Struthio camelus: one gene and its partner. The protein of the gene in region 1 interacts with the protein of each later gene in a pairwise test. Links are inferred from orthologs where the notes say so. Each region holds a gene or a part of one and is shown on either strand. Other genes may lie near its edges.

Region 1 (10,366 bases):
AACAAACGTTAAATTACTGATCTGAAAATATTGTGTAGAGCACATATTCAAGCCTGAGGAACAGATAAGAAGCGATCAGACATTTCTGTGTCTGCAGCATGCACACGCTGAGCAGATGCGAACTAGCCAAATAAAAGGTTTGTCTGCATCAGCAGGAAAGGTTTGAGATCTTATGTAGGAAATTATTTCCAAGTCTGTAGCATTTACAACAATATACTCCTTCTACCCAAAGAAAAATTAGTCATTCAGGCCACCCCAAAAGAACAGTTCAATACCTATATTACTTGTATTAATGCAACAAAACTCCTTTTTCCAGAGAATAACTTGACCCTGTTGTTGCATAAATATTTCTTCCTCCTCCATACATCTTTTTCCCAGTGAGACTTTTTTTGTGGCACAAAAAGGAAGCAACATCAGATTTTTTGCAGCCTCTTCTTCTCATAAGATAAAGGAATATGTTTTCCCCAGGATGTATGTTACAGTCCAACACAGAGGCTCTATTGCTTTGTAACTAACTCATACATTACAACTGGTACTAAAAGACATAACTTTCAAAGAAAGCATCATAGTAAAATGTGTGATAGTAAAATTAGAAAAATATCACCACTTTAAATAGCTAGAGTGTAAAAGAAACAAAAAAAGTCACCATAATTTGCATAAGTATTTCATTACCTTGAAGTATCATTCATTTAACAGTAACAATGCAGAAATTCACTATATGCATTTCAATCAATACTTAATCCCTTGCTATATAGTCAGTCCTACCACATGTATATTATCTTGACTGCAAGAAAAGTGATTATGCCAAGATGATTCAATGATAAGTATTTCAGGAATGCATGGTAGGTGATGTTAAATAAGATGTGCACCCCCCAGGACAAAAGAATATTCCTGCGTGTGACCGTACCAGGTTATTTCCATTTTGAATAAAACTCTACTTATTGCAATGACAGTGTGCTGGATTTGTAAGACGGTCTTATCATTCACCATAACAATTTTGGATTTTAGTGAGGATTGGGGAATGTGAACATCCTTTGCTTTTAAAAAAAGCAGTTTAAGGGAATCCTGAAAATAAGCTCAGCCACCTTTGAAGAAGTCAGACTCCAATACACTGTCTCTAACAGAAAATGCCATTTATGGAGAACGTGCAAATCTGGTCCCTTCCCCTGGTATTCCCCCAACAGCTGCAATCCCTGTATTAGGGATGTTACTGTGTACATCATATCCAGTCTTTTTAGCATCCATGGATGGACCTGCTGTCCACAAATTTGTCTAATCCCTTTCTGATCTGCCGATCCCATCTGCCTCCACAGGCTCCTGTGGCATCAAGCTCTGTACTGTCTGTACAGAAATACATTATCTGTTTTAAACCAATCTCCTACCAGTTTAATCAAATCAACTACCACAGGATTTGGTAAATAACAGTTATGCCTTTAACTTAGCTACCTTCTCTACAATTTTGTAAACCTTGACCTTAATCCCCCTCCCAGCCTTTTGGCTGGAGGGATGTCTCATCCCTTCCCTCTGCTCCATGGTCTCATAGGACTGCTTTAGGACTGCAGATCTCTGAAAATGAAACCTCTGCAAATTCAGGAAAAAAAAAAAAGTTTGGCACATGCCATGGAGGCAAGGGGAGTCTCTGGAGGGGAGCAAAGGCAGAGCTAAAGAGGAGCAGAGAGGACGGAAGAAAAATGAGGGTGATTTGCTACAGCACTCACAAGTGAGCACACATTGCTTGGGAAAGGGCTGTCTGTGAGGTACCTACGTGGCCGCAGATGGCGTCAGACGGCAAAGAGCAAATTCCTACCCACCAGTGGCCTCTAAAGTGCTAATGGCTGCATGCGAAGGTGTGAACGCTTGCTTGGATGACAGCACTGAGCACCACGTACCATAGGGAGAGAGAGGTGAGGCTGATGCAGAGGAGAGTGGGAAAAACGCACCAGCCTTTTAAAAAGCATCTGGGCCTGTTATGAAATTAAATTGTCGGGATGGTGGGACATGGTTGCAACCTGAACCTTTCACTGCCTGCTATCACCTACAGTGGCAAACATTTCAGATAGCAATCACAAACCTACTCCACTATAGCAACGTATACAACATATACAGAAGCAGGAGGAGGAGACGTGGCTCACAAAGTGCCCTCTCCCTTTCCTAGCTACAGTAAGGTCTCAGCTAAAAGCTGCCTGGCTGCAAGTATGTGATAAATACTGACGCCTACTGAAACAGGTCCTAACATAAGAGAAAACAAAATGATGCAAACCCAGCTAAGGCTGAGCTCAGTGTGTCCTCCACGCTTGCTCCTTGCAAATTCAGTGGGTCTTCTTAATAAATTAAGAAATAAAGTAAGAGCCCATGCAAACTGAGTTTTCTTTCTGAAGCTACTTGCTCTCAGGTAGAAGTACCTCCACCACATTCCAGCCAGCATTAGCTGTCTCGACCAGTGGAGCTGTTAGCTGGAACCTCTTGATACAAGACAACCAGGACAAGCCAAGTCCCTCTGTCCTATCCCCTTAGGTGCAATCAAAGACCAGAGGCATGTCTCAAGCTTAGGTCTCATAGCTGCTTAACCTGATCTAAATTCACGCTCTGCAGCTTCTAGTCCTTTCCCACTCTGTCCCTCACGCCTGCACTGCTATGCGTGCAACAGCACAGGGTGCTGACACACGGAGCTGGACTGAGGGAAAGGCAAAAGCAAATAAGCAGGCTAGTGTTTAGGCACATTATCTCCCCGAACTGGCTCACTACGTAGTCCCTGCTAGCACAGCGGAGGCTGCGAGAAACCATGGCCAGGATGATGCAGCCCCAGCTTAAGTTGCGTTATGGTGCTATGGAGCTCAACATTAGGGAACGAGTCTACTCTGGAAAAATACACAGGCCTGTCAGGGCCCTCTTGCCGTGGGGCTGTCGGCCAACAGAAGAGTGCGGGCAGCACAAAATAGCTATGGTGGCAGTGATGATGCAGCATTCGTTGGAAACGGCCTTTTAAATGGCTCTAAAGTAGCTTCTCCCTCCTGTGGCAGGGGAAAAGAGCAGGACCAAGACCATACCCACTTTGGCCTGCAGTGTCATGGAGCTGTGCCCTGTGCAGGCGGAAGGAGGAAGAGCTTGGCAAATGGAAACAGAGGCAGGGAGATGTATTTAAGAGGCTGTTATGCAGATGCATGCTGCTGGTGCTCGAAGGCAAAGAGAGCACTTTAGGTTTTATCACAGACTGCTCAAAAGAGACAGTTAAGGATGCCTGAGCGCTTATGTTTAGTTCTGTAGTTTGAACTTTTCATGGTAAGGATGAAAAGTTCACTGTGGGAACAGCTTGGAAGTTTTCCTAGCCTAGTCAAGCTAGTTTTCCTAGCTTTTAGGCACAAGCTGGTCCAAGGGACACTTTGCACCTGGCACTTCTGGGAGCCTTACAAGTCTAGTTCATCTAATCTCATTAAGTTACTCCAAGTTTGTTTTCTCATGATAATTATCAGGGGACAGGAAAATTATCTTACTCCTCTTTCAGACGTGTTGCAAAAGAAGAGCAAGCATTGGCAGCTATTGCAGAACAATGCAGCTTGCTATGGCTTGTGGCAGCAGCTGGTATCTCCTGTTCGTGCTCTTACTTGTCTCTCTCAGCTTCTTTTTAACAGGTGTGCTGGTACAGAAGTTGAGCATAACTTCAGTGGATTTTCTGGCTCCTGCAAAAGCATCAGCATACACCGTGGGGCCTGTTACAACACGGCTCAACCACAGCTGCTTGCAAAGGGTCTGTGTGCTGCTTAGAGCTAAATGAACTGAAAAATACACAAACCTTAGACCAAATTATTTAAAGAAGAATAACATATATGTCCTTTTCAAACACATGAGAAACTACACTTTCAGATGCTACTATACATTTGTGTTTGTTTTTCTCTGGCCTGTGTTGGACTATGTTTTTCTCTGGCTTGCATTTGAGATTGCTTGGGGACTTTCTTGACCAAGAGCACCATTTAGAGGTCAATTCCTTAACTATTTTTAAAAAGCAAATTACCTGTCTAGTGTGACAGCCCTCACTGTGGACTAATCCATCCTCACTTCTGGCCGTGTACCTCCTGCCGTACCTTGAACGGCAGCCCAGTCAGCCAGGGGCTCTCGCTCCTCTTGCTCAGCCACGTTGCCTGTTTACAAAGTCCTTTGCCTCAACCCTTGTGTTCACTTGGAAGTGCAGACACCAGCCTGCCTGCAATCGCTGCGCAAGCACTTCTGAGCACGTGGAACAGGGAAATAAACTGAACAGTAACAAAGCTTAAAGCACCAGGTGTTTTCACCCAGGAGCTCTGAAGGATCTCTGGGATGAAATAGCTCAACTACTAATGATGGTGTGTAATTTCTTGCTGGAAGCATCACCTTCATACTTAAAGACTGCCAGGTGATGAGAAATGTGTTAAGTTTTAAAAAGGATTCCAGGGGACACCAGAGAAAGCACACATTGGTAAGCCTGACATCTCTCCTGCATAAATCAATAGAAATTACAATAAAGAGAAGAGAAGCCACGGAAAAACAGGGCATGTTTTTTGCAAAGAGAAGTTTAAGCTCAAAAGCAGCTGCCAGTTTTCTGAGGGAGTCAGCCAGGCTGATAGCATTTGCTCAGGAACCCAAACACCTTCAGCGAGCTCCCCGGCCAGATGTAGTTAAGGACCAGCTTGCGCTGGGCTCGGTAGAAAGGGCTGTACAACAGGTCAGTAGGGAAAGGGTGGAAGAAAGCGAGGTTAAAAGGAAGGAAAGCGCAGGAAGGTATGGAGGAAGGTGGGGAGGACCCCGGGCCGCCCCGGCAGCTGCTGGGGAGCCCGCCCGGCCCTGCCCCGCCATTACCTCAGCGCGTTGACCGGCGGGTTTCGGAGGCGGATGACGGCCACGGCGGCGGCACCCCTCACGTACTGTGCCATGGCGAGCACTGAGCTGCTCTGCTCTGCTCCGCTCCACCCGGCCCGGCCTGGCCCGGCCCCCGGGGCGGCCCTGGGCACCCTGCCCGGGAGCGAGGGGCCCCGGCAAGGAGCAGCCCCGGCGAGGAGCGGCCCCGGCGAGGAGCGGCCCCGGCGGTGCCTGCCCCGCCGCGGTGTGTCCCGCTCCCACAGACGGCCACGTGCACAAAGACACTGGTCTCATCTCTGCCTTCATTGCTAGTTTGCCCACCTCACTCAGCAGCAGGCCCCTGTTATCTTATCCTTGGTCTTCCTTTTGCTGCCGTTAGAAACCCTAGAGAGCCACATGCTGCTGCAGGCTAAGGGCAATGAATTACGGACCTTTCTCGAGGTAGAGATCAATGAGAAATGGCTATACGTTCCCCTGTCTGGAGGAACAAATCGCTGAATCTGCTGAAGCAGAGACTAAAGAGATGCAGTGATTAGTGTTAAGAAGTGGTTTCTAACAAGTTATGGATGCTCAGTCTCTTTGCACATTATTTTTATATATAGTCCCTCAGCGCAATAGTGAGATACAAACATGCCTTCTGGAAGGAGCACACTTTCCCTCCCTCAGCACGGGAGGTATGAAAACACATAGCACAGAGCTGCTGAACTATAAATCCCCGTTTCATCACAAAGCAGCACTGTGCATACACACAAAGTGATGTATTTCACCCCATGTACAAGCACAGCACAGAGAAATCCCCCCGGGCTCTTAGGAGAGAAGCATATTGTTGAACATCTTTCCTTGCGTTGGGCAAGGACAAGGCACTGATGGGTCCCTACACATCCGGAGTCCCGGTAGAAGGGTAATTCACAGGAGTATGAAGGTGCAGCCACCATTGAGATAAGCAGCGCCTCCACCTTGATGGGCACCCCGCTCTCAGCAGGTCTCATGTCCTGGCAATCAGGCCCCTTCTTATATTACTGTGGAGATTCAGAGCCCCCAGAAGACATATGTTGGATTCATAAACACTGAGCATAGGGAACTGAGCTGGCTTTGACCCAGAGCCAAGACTGTGAAGTGCTACAGTCACCAAAAAAGGCTGCTAAGACATAATTTATCTGCAGACTTTCACTACATAGGTAACTAGTAGAGCCTGAGTTGTGGGGCAATTGCCAGAAAATGATGAAGGGTCTTGTAAGAGCAATTTTTTATAGCATGCTAAAACACAGTCTAAACGCCTGGCAGGGTCACAGTGTAGATGCACACTCAATTAGGACAGCCACAGTTGTTTGATTTCAACTGATGCTGACATAAACCAGAGCCTTTGCCATACCTGTGCTGACATATGTTTGGAAAGCATGCTGCACATTATTGTTGCTTTATGATATGCAACAGGTGCTTTGCTTTTAAATAGAAAACTTCTGTTACAAGGGTTGGTGCTGTTAAAAACTCTGCAAGAGACTAAGACCCACATGATTTTTAGTTGATACAGAAAAGCTAATAAATATATCTTTTGGGCTAACGTGTAATTTAAGGGAAAGAAAAGGTTTTTCAGAGGAAAGACTCCTGGATGTTGAAGAACCGACTACATTTCGTACGCGTCTGTTGGTGTCTTGTTGTGCTGTTACATGACCATCCCTGATGCAGGTGTTCAGGAACCAATACAAAAGACACGACGAGGATGCTACAAAAACATCTGCTTGTAGAGCTGAGTAAGAGCCAAGTCAGCGCCAGTCCACAGATCTCTGTGAATCACAGGGTGAGCTCTGCGGAGCAACCACACGTGCTTCTCCCAGTGATGGGTATGCAACAAGGCCTCTCTGTCCCTGGCTGTTGCAAGGTGTCAGCTCAGTCTATTGGGTGGGCTGTAGTTTATCCTAATGAGCTTGTGGAAACTGAACTTCTCTGCTTGATATAATTTTATATTTCTTGGCCTTTAAAAGTCACCCACTGGGCAGAATGGCTGCAGCTGCCTCAACAGCTCTGGAACAGGTACTGATTGTTTTAGCACTAGATTTAGGAGTATGGAAAGGTCTGTGCTAACATACAGCCTTCACTCACAGCAACTGCTGCCTTCCTTATTTCATTGCTATTGTGGTGGAGCCGCTAGAACTCTTCTGCAATTTGTTAAGCCATGAAAATTTAAAAGTCTGTTTTTGTTTTTTACAGGAGAGAGAATACTCTGCAATTTGCAGGTAAAAGCAGTGTATTTTGGGAGTGCATAAAACTATGCCTTGGAGTTGTGGGGGCTAACTGATCTGTTGTTTTTTCATTAACTAGCAGAAAACAAAAGATCGCTTGGGTGAGTTGCACTTTCTGTTTATAATTTACAGGTCGATTTGAGTTGTCTTTTAATAATGTAACTGCCATAGATGTGACAAAACAGGGCACCCTTCTGAGCATGAATAAACACAAAAGAAAAGAATTCTCATGAAGAAAAAAACAGCTCACTGATTTTACAGATTGAGGAAAACGTTCCAGTAAATAAGGCTTACTGTTATAAGCTTTGTGTTTGTCTTCTTTTTTTCTTAAAGATGAAGAGGGCTTGGTAATAAGAGATGGAAGGGCATTTAAGGTGAATGCACAACTAAGGGTTACGCACATGGCAGAGGGATTAAAGTCTTCAGAGCTTTCTGTGAAGTTTTTAACCTGTTCTGTGCTGAGTTGTGCAAGGACCTGAGCTTAAACACAGCTCCCGAGCCAACGAAGGGTAGGGGTCCCAGATAAGGCTACTTACTGTTTTTTCCTCACAGCCTAGCTGTTTTCACAGCAATCTGATCCAAGCCTACCCAACTGTGCTGTATCAGAGCTGACCTTGAGTACAGGCAGCCATAGGTGGTGGGAAGAGGTTGCAGAGCCTGTTGGTGCACTTGGCCTTGACAAATTGTAACCAGGATGGTCAGCTTTCTTCCTCGAAGTTTTTGAGAACTTCACCAACAGCTTGTAGAGGTATCAACTGCTCCTACTTCCAAGGCCCTACTGTGTGGAACAGGGCTCTGCCCTCCAGATTGGCTGACAGTTTGACTAAAAAACCCTGCTGGCTACAAAATCAGAGGATGGAGTGGCAGCCTTCTCAGCCCCAGGCCTACCAGAAGAAAAGACATCCTGCTGTAGGAAGAGAAATATAGCTAGAACTGCCTGTCTAAAATTTCGCATCTGTTCATCCTTTGCTAAAGGCCAGCCCTACACTGTTCTGTCTCTGGGACAGTGGATGCCATTTCAGAAGTAAACTATGGTTATGGAAGAAGCTTAAGCCTGTGTAAAAGCCCGAGTAACCAAGGGCTTTCTTTCAACATGAAGGAGCAGACGGCAAGCTAGTTTGTGGATAGTCCTTTGAGTGTTGTTAACTTTTGTCATCCCTTTGATTACTCGTCTTTTCATTAAGTAGTAGAGGAAAATGCTCAGAAAATATACCCGGTGCCCATTCCAATTCTGGAGAAGCGGAAAGCTTCTCAAGAGGAGAATATAAAAGCCATACTCCATTACTAGAAATGGAGATGAGGGGTATTCACCAAAGGACAAATTTAAATGAATATGCAGTTTGTGCTGCGGATAGAAGAAAAAGAACTCCGCTTCTTCCCAAGCAGGAGCAACACGAGTCTAAGTCCCCTACAGCCTCCTGAGATCATCAGCCTTACTCCAGAAGTACTGAATGAGACACACAAACGTTTTACAAGGGGCTCAGGATCATTTTTCTTCCAGCAGATCATTGATCAGAGGTACTTCAGAAGATGCAGCTTCATTTTGCTATAATCTTATTCACACGGACCAGTATATCTTGAGAAATGACTATTAGACTAGTTGAACCAAGCATGTCCATTTCTGACCCTAAAGGCATTTCAGAAGGAGTATTTACAGTGAGGTTGTTCCAACTATAAGAATAGTGTATTTATTTCCACTAAAACTGCTTCCTAGGAATACGGAAGAACCAACTAGCTGCATCGTAAAATCTGAGCTGAGGTGTTGTAGTAAAACCTGCGGTCACACTCCTGAGAAGGGTAAGAGCTCTGAAAACTCATTCTTTCTTGACAGCAGCTGGTCTAAACATCAGGCTTGAATTACACCCTTCTGTTGAAATGGCTCGGAGGGGCTGCTAAATTTGCCAATAGCTGTTTTCTGCTTTCCTTTTTACAGCAACAACTTTCTCAGTTTTGGGGGCTTTCTTTTTTTAATTCTTCAGTGTAAAAAGGGCTATTGATCTCCTCACCCCTATGATCTTTTATCCTGTGCACAGTTCTCTGCTCTACTTTACCAGTTACTGGTAAACAGCTGATCATAGAAGAGTTTTCAAAGACTCCTTTGGTTGCGCACACTCTTCCATGATCTCCTTCGCTAAGTGTACGGTCCTGTTCTAAACGCTCTCCAACACCAGCCTTCCAGATCCTCAGTGAGTTGGAGGAGTTCATTGCCTTGGGGCTGGTATATGTGTAATTCTTTGAAAGGCATGGCTAGAGCTCTGTAAGTGTGGTAACTACATCTACAGAGCAATATTGTGGGCTGTAAAATATCATCCCATCTTAGAGTTTAAAATCCCACTGAAGAGCCTCAGTCATAGAATGCTGTTCAGTTGTACAATGTTGTTTTAGCAAAAAAAGCCGCTAGATGGGATAAAGACTTGTTTAAAAACTCTTCATTCTGACTGGGCATGCCTTTTGGGCATCTTCCCTTCGGCAAAAAGAGTTTAAAAGGTCTGGGAAACTTTGCGCCCTGTTCCATCTTCTAGACCAAAGCCTGGGCACATTTAAATGCAGTATTTGTCACTTAATTTATTAATATGTACTTAAAACTATGGCTATAGGTAGAGAACAGTTGCGTATCCAGTAAGTCACTAATATTGTACACCTTCTCGTAAGCAAGCCCCTCATTTGCTTTTCAAATGCATTTATGCAGGTGTAGAAAGCATAGTGGCACAGCTTTCAGGCCAGGACAACTTGTCTCCTTGAGGCTTTACTCCATTCTTTGGAGTGCCATTGCTGAGGGGGGATTCCTTGGGGCTGACTGAAAGCAAAACCACCCTGGTCTCCCGGGAGTGGTGTGGGAAGCAACGTCTGTCCCGCATGTCTTGGGCCTGCCACAAGCACGCGTCCTGGCTCCTGGCAGCTCCGAAGGCTCCGAGGGCAGGGAATGGAGTCACAGGCCCCCGTTTGGGGCCCCGAGATGCAGGACCTGAGACCTGCTGAGTGCGAGGCAGCTGCCCAGCTGGAGGGGCTGCCTTTCTGGACGGCAGCTCTCCCCTCATAGTACTGGTGACGTTCAGCATTTATTTCCCTCTGTATAACTCTGTGCATAACAGCCATTCTCAGATGGTGAGAGCCTCATACGAAAAAATCATCATTTCAAATGAAAGATTTTAAGTTCTCCCTGCCAGAACAAGAGAACTTTCAGTTATTTTCAATAATCCAAATCCATTTCCTTTTGTGATTTTTACGTTGCTATATTTGCATGGTTTCAAAGCAACACCTCCTGGAAAGCCGTGGTATTGCTATGCAAGCAGAGG
Region 2 (10,696 bases), on another chromosome or scaffold:
TTCCAGAAAGACCGATAATTTCTCCATCTTTAGGTTCTACTACAGTACATGTAGTTACATCACCACTGCCTGTTGTATCAATTATATCAATTATTTTGGGTTTCCCATCAGTTGTAATCTGAAAATATGAGCAGAATACTTGAAGATGCAGTCAATTATTCTTCAACATACAGACCAGGAAAATTTTCATTTTTGTGAATAAAAGAAAGTAAGTTGATTTTTTTTTTTTTTTTTTTTTTTAAGTACCCTACCTTTAACTGAGGGGCATAAAAAGCTCTTTGAAATTAGTTAAATTTTTAATGAACTTGTGCATCTTCCTCACCTTAAATAAACTATTAACTCATTTCTAAAAGTGTCTTACAAGAGAAACAAGTAAAAAAAAAAATTTATTAATAATGCTCAGAAGCTCATATTTAGAACCAAACCTTCCAGTAAGTTTTCCCTAAGTCTGCAAAATTACAATTTTCTTTCAAAACATTTACAACATTGCTTTCATCCTACTGCTCTGGCCAAATTTTACAGTAATGATGCCACAATTCCAGAAAGATGAAAGCTGCTGAACTACATGCGCTTACATGTTTGAGCCTCTTAACTGAGTTTAATCCTAAAAGTTACACAAAATATCGTCATCTTATTTTTCTGTTACGAGGATTCTGCTTCATATTTTAAACAATTCAAAGTGTTAGGAGCTATGTGTAAAGAGTACTTTTAGGAGGGTGAAGAGACAGGAAAGGTATCTGTCTGGGAAGAGCAAAATTTTAAAATCTCCTCAAATTAAATGAAAACTAGCCCTAACAGTCTTGACAGCAGTCATTGGCCTACTGGGAAGAAGTCCATATCTACCCAATCACAGACAGAGATAATAATAGTGTTTTGAAGGGTAAGAATGGAAAAATCAGAGTGGTATAAGACTACTTCAGAAGAGAAGGAAAATATCGCACAATCTTGCAGAATGACATATCATATAATTTTTGAAGAATTTAAGAAAAAAATTGTTTACCAAAACAAATTGCACTATAAGAAATGCACCAAACAATAAATGTGTTACCTAAATTTAAGATTATTCTATAGCAGTAATCTGCACTGCTAAATAAAACTACTGTATAAAGTATAAAGCTACAGCTATGTCATGGAACACATATGACAGCTAGTAAAATCCTGAAGGACCATACTAAAAACGTCCTAGAGAGAAAGGACAGTTAATGGTGTCAAAAAACAACTAACGACACACAAAGTCCCTTCCACAGAAGCACCTTCTGCACAATTATCAAAAGTATAAGACTGTCTTGACACATTTAGAAAAAAATATTCAATGTTACTATGTTCTCGTAATCCCTTCTGGATGAAGCATGTTATTATTTCATATCAGTTTACTCAGCAAACATACTACATTCCATAAAAAGTAGTAGATGCTTGAAGTGCAACATGAATTGGCTGTAAGCAATTATTTTCACAGCTTTATATTAAAGATTGTTGATTAAAAAAATCACCTTCTCAGCACCTGCTATACACCAATATACTGAAAGTAAAAAAAAAAAAATAATAATAAAAAGCATTCGTGTTCAGAATAGCTGCAAATTTTGCTGTTTTCTAGCATTTCAGTGCTTGGTATTCTTGCCTTTATGCTCTACCATTAACGCTGATCTCGCAGCTAACACACATGGCAGATAGGTTTGCTCAAATCATGTTCTGGAAGTGTGAGTTCAGCCACAGAAATTGATAATAATTAAGTTATTTCATAAAAGTCACTCTGTTGCTGCCAAAAAAGACAAGACAATGGTCAAGCCTACATTGGAGTTCAACAAATACAGACAAATACCTCCAAGGTTTTGAATTTTCATTGTTTAGAAAAATCCAAATTTAAATAGCTGTAAGAAAAGATACTGCAACAAGTATAAACAGGAGACAAATTTCTGTTTTCCAGAAGGTAACAAATACTGCTTTGAGGAAACCTGCTATGGAACAGTTTTCACTGCAGAAATCAACACGGTTAACTCTGCTCACAGAAATTCACGTTCATTTAGAAGAACAGCAGCTATGTAGTAGTGAAAATTTACTTGGGAAACTCCATGCACAGGCATTTATACCATAGAATTTTCTATCATCTGTAATTAATCCCTTCAGATGCCAGTCTTCACTCACAGAGAAGTTAACAGGTAACCTTGAACAGAAGTTACGCCAAAAAGAGGATTCCACCAATAATAAATTATATGCATGCTAAACCTGAGATTATCAGAATTGGGCATTTTTCAATATACCTCTAAAAAAAAAAAGTAATAAATTGCTCAGCGATCAAAGTGCAAGAAAATAAAAATGGAATTGCAACCCAAGGCAACCTCTTTGACACTGGTGAGTCATACTGCAACAGGTGGCCAGAACATAGATTTATGCTGTAGTGAATTTCAGTAGCTTTAAAAGTTCCTTCCTAGCCAGAAATTTTATGTGAAACTCCTACACCGTACAGATCGTCACCCTCTATATGAATAGCAGGTCCACATGCGTACATGTCTGTGCAATCAGAATCAACAAATCAGTCTTTCAGGTCAGACACAAGAAACTTGAGTTTCAAGTGCAAAGGTCTAAGGTTCAATTCCTAATGGCAGCGATCCAGTCCGATTCACAGTCATTTAGCGTAAAGTAACTGATAGAGCTTTCAGTGCTGACATGAATTGTTTGGCACACTGCCCACCAGTAGTAATGGTACAATGAAACTTACGGTTCAACTGTTTTTTTGTCTTCCCCTCTCCCTTGAAGTCCTTTATCTTGGGGGCGGGGGGGAAGGGAGGGCAGAATTAAGTGATATTAATTTTCTTTGTATGATTTGATTTTTTTCTAAGTAATGAATTTATTATAGATGTAAAGAATGTTTTCACCCCAAAATTTTAAAAAAAGAAATTACTATATAATTAAAATATTTTATAGCATGTCTTAGTCTCAACCGTGCAAACTCATGCTTTCTTTGTTCCTCACATACGCAACCCCTAGAGATTCAGATTTTTTGCTTTCACATGTGAAACACTTACCTGAACCCCACAAGGAGTCAGTTCAGAAAGCTGAACTTAAAGATCAAAGTTAGGCCTCTGAGCTAGGTCACTGAAGAGTAAAATCTGCACCAGTGCCAAATAAAGAGCAGAAACCACCACAATCCCTGCTTATATAAAGGATGCAGTTCCCATGGGAGCTGCATACAACCCTCTCCGAATCCTGACAGAAAACATGCTGAAGAGAAGTTGGAAGTAGGAGCAACAAAAAAGGCCATATATACACTGCATAATTAAGAAGATGTTAAAAAGCAAATACTGAAAGAATCAAGGAAAAACTGTGAAACGTCCAAATTAAAAATCACCTACACAGAATTTTACAAAACCTGAGATCAAGATTGTAATGACAAATGGGGTGTACTCTGAGCTATAGACAAAGCTAGCAGATGTAAAAAAAGGTCAGCATATACAAATCTGATAAAAAATTTGATTGCAATACAAGAAAAATACATTGACAACAAAGGTATGCAAAATTTGCTAAAACACATTTTTCATACAAAACATTTAAGTGGCTGTTTGAACTCCCTTGCTACTACTGAAATAACGCTAACGTTTAAGAAAAATACGAAGCACTCTTTTCGAGTAGGTTCTGCGAAAAAGGAGACAGCCAAAGGGATTAAGTGCCCTAAGGCATCTGTGGAAGGCTCAAAAGAAGAAACCTCCTACAAATAACCGAAGGGAAACACACAGATCTACAGGATTTTCTCCGCTCTCCCACAGCCGACCTCCGCGGAGCTCACACTAATGCAGCACGGGCATGAATGCTTAGCGGGAATCCTAAGGAAAACAACAACAACAACAACCGCAAGCCTCTCACGGCCGCCGTGGGGGCGCCAGACGCCTCGTCCCGGCACGACCCCTCCGCGGGGACCTCCTTCCTCCCGCCCCCCCTCCCCCGGCGGCTTCCAGGGCTCCGGCAGCCGCCGGGCCGGCCGCTCCGTGCTCCCCGCTCGCAGCCAACGGCCGCCCGCCACCCTGTCCCGGCGCGGCGCCGCCGCTGCCTGTCGGCGGTGACTCAGGGCCGCCGCCCTGAAGCGGCTCCTCCCGCCGCACGCGACCGCCCGTTACCTGCATGCCCGGGGCGCCGGGGTCCACGCCGGTGTCCAGCACCGCCAACAGCACCCCCCGCCCGTCGAAGTCGGGGTAGCGGGCGAGGAAAGCGGCGGCGCCGGTCTCCTTCTTGGGCAGGAGGCCGTGGAAAGGGAACGGCTCCTCCACGGCGGCCGCCATGATGGGAAAGGGAAACGGGGGCCGCGCGCCGCCAGGCAGCGCGAGAGCACAGCGCAGCCGGCGGGCGGGGGCAGTGGGCGCGGGGAGGCCAGGGCGCATGCGCGCGCCCCCTCCCCAGGGGCGCACCCTGGCGCGACCCGGAACGCGAGCGCACCGGGCCTAAACCAGCCAATAAGGCCACGCAACGTCCTGGCGCCCGCCCGCGGCGCTGCAGCCAATCAGAAAAGGGAAATTCTCCACGCGCTGGAACTTCTGGGGAGGGGGGGAGAAGAGCGGGGGAGGCGGGAGAGGAACGGGGGGGCCGCGCCCTTAAAGTGACCAGCGCCCTCCCTGCCTTCCTGAGACGCGGGGGTGGGGTGGGGAGGGGAGGGGAGCGGAGCGGAGCGGAGCGGAGCGCAAAGGCGGGTGGCGGATGGCTGGCAGAGCTGCGGGGACACCGGCCGTGGCCGGGGTGGGGGGTTACGGCCATCTTCCCGTGTGAGCAGGCCGGGCTCCAGCTCTGATTGGGCCGCCCTCAATCCCCTGCTCCCGAAGCGGGCGGGCCTCGCCTAAGCAGGGAAAACGGCTCCGCCGCGGGCGGGCGCCGTTTTCCGTCCCAGCCTCGGGCCGGCGGCGGCGGGCGGGCGGCGTGGGGGGAATCCCTCAGGCAGCGCTGAGAGGAAACTCCAGTAGTGGCGCACGAAGGGTACCCGTCACCCGCTGAACAAAAACAACATGAAAACTTATAAATATTCAAACGTTGCCTCTTCTGCTGATTGATTTGTACGCGAAAAACACGTTATGCGGTTGAGCTGCCCCCCCCCGGGGCACTGTTACCTCCGTTACTGTGGGAGGGATAAACGGTATTTACAGCGTGCTGCGATTTAATGCCTGTGCAACTACTTAGTTCTAAGGGAAACAAGACTAGCTGCAGGCTATTGACAGCTCCAAATGAAATGTTTGGCGAGATAAGTCATAAATCTTAGCTTTAGGAGAGGTTTTAAAGTCGGTGTCCCGCTTTCCTGATTGCAGAAAAGCTTGCCAGCAAAAACTGAATGAACTGTAGAATCTCAGAAACCAAATACAGCACTTAAAAAAAGCAATCTTGTTCATAGGGCCTGACTCCCGGCTTTAGCCATATAAATTGGCAGTAAAGGTGCCATCCATTCTTGTTATTTCAGTATCAATGCGCTTTCCTCAGGCAAGTTTCTGTTCAGAGAGCTTTATTGCGCAAAATAAATTTGTTTGGATACATTAATCTCTTCATCGCTGTCTGCAAGGCAAAGGGGATTTTGGCTTTTGAGAATATTTCCGTTTGTAAAATGCTTTTTTGTTTCCTGGGTCTGATGAAATTTCTTTATTACTGAATGTATGTCGAACATTATGAATTTTTCTTCAACTAAGTCTGGCACTTGTTCCTTCTTAATAGAAATGGTTTTTTGCTAGTGGATAGTGGTACATTATGCATTTTCCTCATTTTTTGGCTACCATTGGCAACGGCTCCAACCCATCAATGGTTTTAGAGGTCTGAAGCACTTATATGCAATTACAGTACCACAGAAAACCTGATGAGCAGACAGTTAAAAATACATAGCTAAAAAAAGAGAGTCAAATCTGTACTGTACTTATTTTACTAGTTATTTTACTGCTTCCCTCTTTGTTTTTCAATCACAAGTAAAAATTTTACATTTAGAAGTCTAGCTCTGATGTGCTTGACTGTTTCCTAGACTCCTGCTGGGGTCTGACAGCCATATTCAATTTTTTTAGAATTACATAAAACCTTAACTGATCATACTTAAGGGAAACAATTGTTCTGACAAGGCCATTATTCATTCATGCAGTATCTAAGTTATTGCTCATTTGAGTTTAGTTTTGCTTCTGCATATCATTGCTAATGCATATGTTGTAATGGGAGATGTTTGTATTTCTGGCAGCACATTAAATCAACAAAAGTCTAATATATCCTATTGCTAGTATATTTTGAGACATCAAATTCTCAAAATGTTTCATATCCCACTTAATAAACAATCTGTATGTTATAATTTTGAAACACATTTATTACTAACTCTGAAATTTTTTGCTCTGTTCTGTTGCTGTGTTGTCGTAATTATACCACAAACAAATTTCTAATTAACAGTTACATTAATTGTAGAATTATCTATATGACGTGCGCTTCCAAGTAGGAGGGCAGGCTCTGCAGGAAGAATCAGAAAATTTGGGGAAAGCAAACCAAACGTCTTTTAGCAGACTTTTGGGCAATACCTTGGAAGAAAAAAGAAAATTCAATTTAATTTCAGTTGCAATCTTTAAATCTCATACTCATATATTAGTACAATTACTATGTGGTATGACTTCAGAAAAAGGTTAAGACCGCAGCCTTATTTACTTATCTTATTTACTATCATCTTACTTATTTGCTTATCTTACTGAGCATTTGCAGCCCTTAACATATAGAGATTTTTTGAGTGCACCTTTGTGCACTGGTGCAAGGCACTGAAGCTAATGTTCATTATGATCCCAGTTAGAAAGGCACTCAGATTCTGTAAAGTGTTGCTTAAAATGCCATTGATTGGAGCTAACAAAAGAAGGAAGAAGAGGATAGATAATCTTGCATCCCTTCATATGCTGGGAACCCTGAGTTGCACAGCATCAGGCAGATCTCTAGTCAGGGCAGGGCATGGGGTGGCATGTAGTGGGGATCCCATCTGTGAAGTGGCTCACTGACATTTTAGTCTTTAGTGCTCTTACAGGATTTTCTTAGAAGAAAATAATTCTATTCATCATTTCCACTATCAAACAAAAGGGTGTTCAAGTGAAAACTCACTGCTTCACTTTAAGATAAAGACAAGGACGTAAGGTGCTGTAATCATCAGTACCAAGTGGGAGCTGCTACATGCTCCTCCATTATGATTAGCCAGCAAAGTTTATCCTGCAGCCAAAGGATATGTGCAGCCTGAAGTGTAGCGGGCTTCAAGGCCAAGCTATTCGTGAAGCATAGCACAGCACAGCACAGCACAGCTCATGCTGGTGCCTGCTCAGGTTAACTGTTAGGTGACTCACTAGCTCATCAATGTGTAATAGTCTTCCAGTTAGGACCATTTAATTCTGAGCTTATTGAATTTCTAAGGTTTAGTTTGGATATGCAGATTGTTAAAATAATTCTGTAATATATTTACGTCATACTGCTAACATGTACTGTCAACACTAGTGCACTTTAATGTATATAAGTTTCTGAACTGTAATAAATAGAGCTTTATTTTGTTCTGAGTAATACCATAGCTGTTCCAGTGAAAATAAAGACAGAAGTAAAGCTGCCATGTTGGAAATTCAAAAGAAGAGTTTATTGTAAAATTTCTTGAGACAATATGGTTTGATCATTAAAATAATGACTTAGCCTCTCTCAGGATCTAAATTTATATAGCAGTTCATGTGAATTTGCTATGTTAAATAGATTCACATCTCCTTATTAGGGACCATTTCAGCTCGTCGTATCTGAATCTGGGGACTGAGCCAAAGTAAGCAACTGCTGTCACATCTTGGGACTCTGATTTTCAAAGATGCACGGTATTGCCCAGATCCCTCTGAAAACAATGAAAGCCATGGGTGCTCATTTCTCTTAGAGATCAGTCCTCCACAGGTTGGCCCACCTGTTGGCAAAGATACTTTTACCCATTTTGTCAGGTGGATCCTAGCTCTACCCAACAGTGGTCAATCCTTGAGGAGGGTCCCATGGTCATAGAAAATGAAACCCGGTTGCCGACACTATCTGTGCAACCAGTTGTTAACCCATAGGATCTGTTCATTGTGGCATGCTAAGGAGAAGAATGAGCTTGACAGACTGGGAGATGGGATGTTTGTTCAAATCACCTCAGGAAGGAGAGGGACTTCCATATTGTGGGCGAGTTCATTAATTGCTGAGGTGTTCGGTAAAAAGACTCTTTTTCTATTCATGCTTTATGAGATAGGGTTTACTCTTGATATCTAACTCCCGTTTTTTTCTGGGGATAGCTGGTCCTTGAAAGACATAAGTGTCCGAATGTACCTAATTCCTACCATTTCCTTTTGGCTTATGTGGCTCCCTGTTCACTCACACGGGCTTTACTTAGTGCCATGTAAGCATAAGTCAACACAGGTCCTCCAGAGAGAACGTTTTCCCACGCCCTTGCACTCTCTGTCCTTGGCCACACACTCTCTTTCTTCCCCAGGCACTCGTGCTTGTGTGTCTGCGTGGTGCACCAAATCAAGGAATAAATCTAGCTGAAAACTATCCCACAAAAGAGATTCCTTTTCAAGAACCTGGTACAGGTTTCAGTGCCACTTACTGAACACTTGTGCTGGTGCGCAACTGGAGACGGCTCATCCCTTTCAGCGACAGTGCAGATTTATCTTAGATTAGATGAACTGTTGAACCATGGCACAGGGAGCCCTGGTCTAGCACAAAGCCCTACTAGCACAAAGGTCTGGGATGCGCTCTGGCAGTGGGCCCATCTGCATTTTGGTTCCACAAAGAGCCTAAGTATGTACAAATCTGTAAGTTTTTCTGTGGGTCTAGCTCATAAAGATTTTTAGAGATGGTTCAATTTCGCTCCTTTTATTCTGTGATTAGTACAGATTAATTCTGTGTGAACAAAGGTATCAGATTTATGCAGTGAGCACTTTGACATTCCTTCTTCATAGAGAGAAACATGTATCCATCTTACTTTTGATACCAAATTTTCCTTCTTCCCTTCCTTCCTTCCTGGACAACGTATCCCCAGTTTTCTCTTTACTAAGTTGTTTATCTGGTTGGGTCTTTTTGCCAGATTCATTCCTTGCTAAATATAGAATAGCAAGATCATTAGTCAACTGGCTTTTATTATTCTCCCATGTAAACATATTTCAAATACGCCCTTGGGAGTTATCTGAGGCAAATTTAATCAATTCCTACCATTCTCTATGCAGAGACTCTGGAGGCCCAGCTAAAGGTTGTAGGCTATGTTCTCATGTACTAAATTGTAAAAAATAGTCTGAAATGGTACCCGTATGGAGAGCTCATTGTGAGTTTAAGCATTTTCTCAATAATGCTACTTAAAACTCATTCAAGATGAAAAATTAAGAAGGTAGGGTTCATTTAGCAAGAAACTGGCCTCAGCAAAAAGCTGCAGATAAACACAGTACCAATTCAACCTCATACTGTACATCTAGTGGTCTTCTGCGTGCCATGTATGACAAAATTACTACTAGGGTTGTTTTTTGAAATTTTTTTTTCCCTTGAAAATAAAGGCACAAAACAAAATGGCATGTTCGCCTTTTCTCTTCAATGTAGCTAAAAAATCATTTGCACATTTCTATTTTTCACTTTGGTATAAAGAGAGAGAAAGGAGAGAATTGTACCTCCAGTCCACAGAGCCTTGAAGACCACTGCCAAATGCAGTTGTCAACTGTCCCTATGATGAGCGTTCCTTCTCAGGAGTTGCCTGAATTATTGGAAGTTGTGTTCAATCGCAAAGTTACTTCCGTGGAACTTATCTTCTCTGTGAAAATTAGACATGCAATTTTTGCCCCACAGGTGGGAAACGAGACAAACTATCGAAGAAATCAATTAGAATTACAAGGTTAACTTGTGGCTGAGGTTTGCAAAGGTATACACAGAACAATGAGGATACCTTAGCTGACAAATGTGACCTTCATGGTCTGTTTTCTAACTGGAAAGCGTTCAAAGCGAAGATAATGTATTCTGTTTAAGAGTATATATGAATCTGAGACAACCATGCTTTCATCGGAGGAGGACAGAACTTTGCTGCAGAAATGAGCAAAGAAATTGCTGGATGTAAGTATGTACTCGCTATTCCCAGAGCCGAGCGTGCAGATTCACTAGCTTTTCAGGTTTCCCCGAACCTTGAAACAGACTTGAGCCTTTTTCCCAGTCCTGGTCTTGCACAGTGTGTAGAGATTAGTGACAGAGATATTAAGATGAGTAGAATGAATTGTGGATGGAAATGTATGTGTCTGAAAGTATCAGAAGAAACAATACCAAGCAAAGTTGAAAGAGCAACATCTGTTGATAACCGAGGACGTGATTAGCGGCAATCAAACTGGTTAACGCTGAGGAATGTGGTGCTTACTTCAAGAGCAGAAGGCCTGAGCTCTAATAAGGCCGCAGCAGGATGACTTGTTAGCAGAAGAGCAGGGCTATGATGGCAGGAGGATGGCAGCCAGGTTATACGCTGTATGTGCCATCACTCTTCCTTCTGTGCCGGTAGGAAGACAGATTGTAGCCGTAAAGGTACCCACATGAGGAAACACACACCACAGGTAGCAACTTTGCTTAAGGTTTATGGAGGATGAAGTAAGCAAGATTGTGAAGAAAAGTTCATGCCACAATAGCTGATTTCGAAAGGATGTAAAAGCTATGCCCAAAAAATTCATCAGGAGGAATCCAAGTGATATAGTTAGGACTTGACAGC

Evidence for each region. The genes of interacting proteins can lie anywhere in the genome.
Region 2: the proteins of EHHADH (region 1) and TPP2 interact in binary tests that used the Homo sapiens proteins (3 or more experiments, as listed by UniProt). The two-hybrid records come from large-scale screens. The link is inferred for Struthio camelus from reciprocal best matches to the Homo sapiens genes EHHADH and TPP2.

Annotation. Positions count from the first base shown.
Region 1 is NC_090950.1:5,242,570-5,252,935, reverse strand, and holds the start of EHHADH (peroxisomal bifunctional enzyme), read right to left. Parts: upstream 4,956-10,366; 5' UTR 4,905-4,955; coding exon 4,831-4,904; intron 1-4,830. UniProt on the Homo sapiens protein: Peroxisomal trifunctional enzyme possessing 2-enoyl-CoA hydratase, 3-hydroxyacyl-CoA dehydrogenase, and delta 3, delta 2-enoyl-CoA isomerase activities. Catalyzes two of the four reactions of the long chain fatty acids peroxisomal beta-oxidation pathway.
Region 2 is NC_090942.1:162,706,423-162,717,118, forward strand, and holds the start of TPP2 (tripeptidyl-peptidase 2), read right to left. Parts: upstream 4,365-10,696; 5' UTR 4,272-4,364; coding exon 4,110-4,271; intron 119-4,109; coding exon 1-118. UniProt on the Homo sapiens protein: Cytosolic tripeptidyl-peptidase that releases N-terminal tripeptides from polypeptides and is a component of the proteolytic cascade acting downstream of the 26S proteasome in the ubiquitin-proteasome pathway.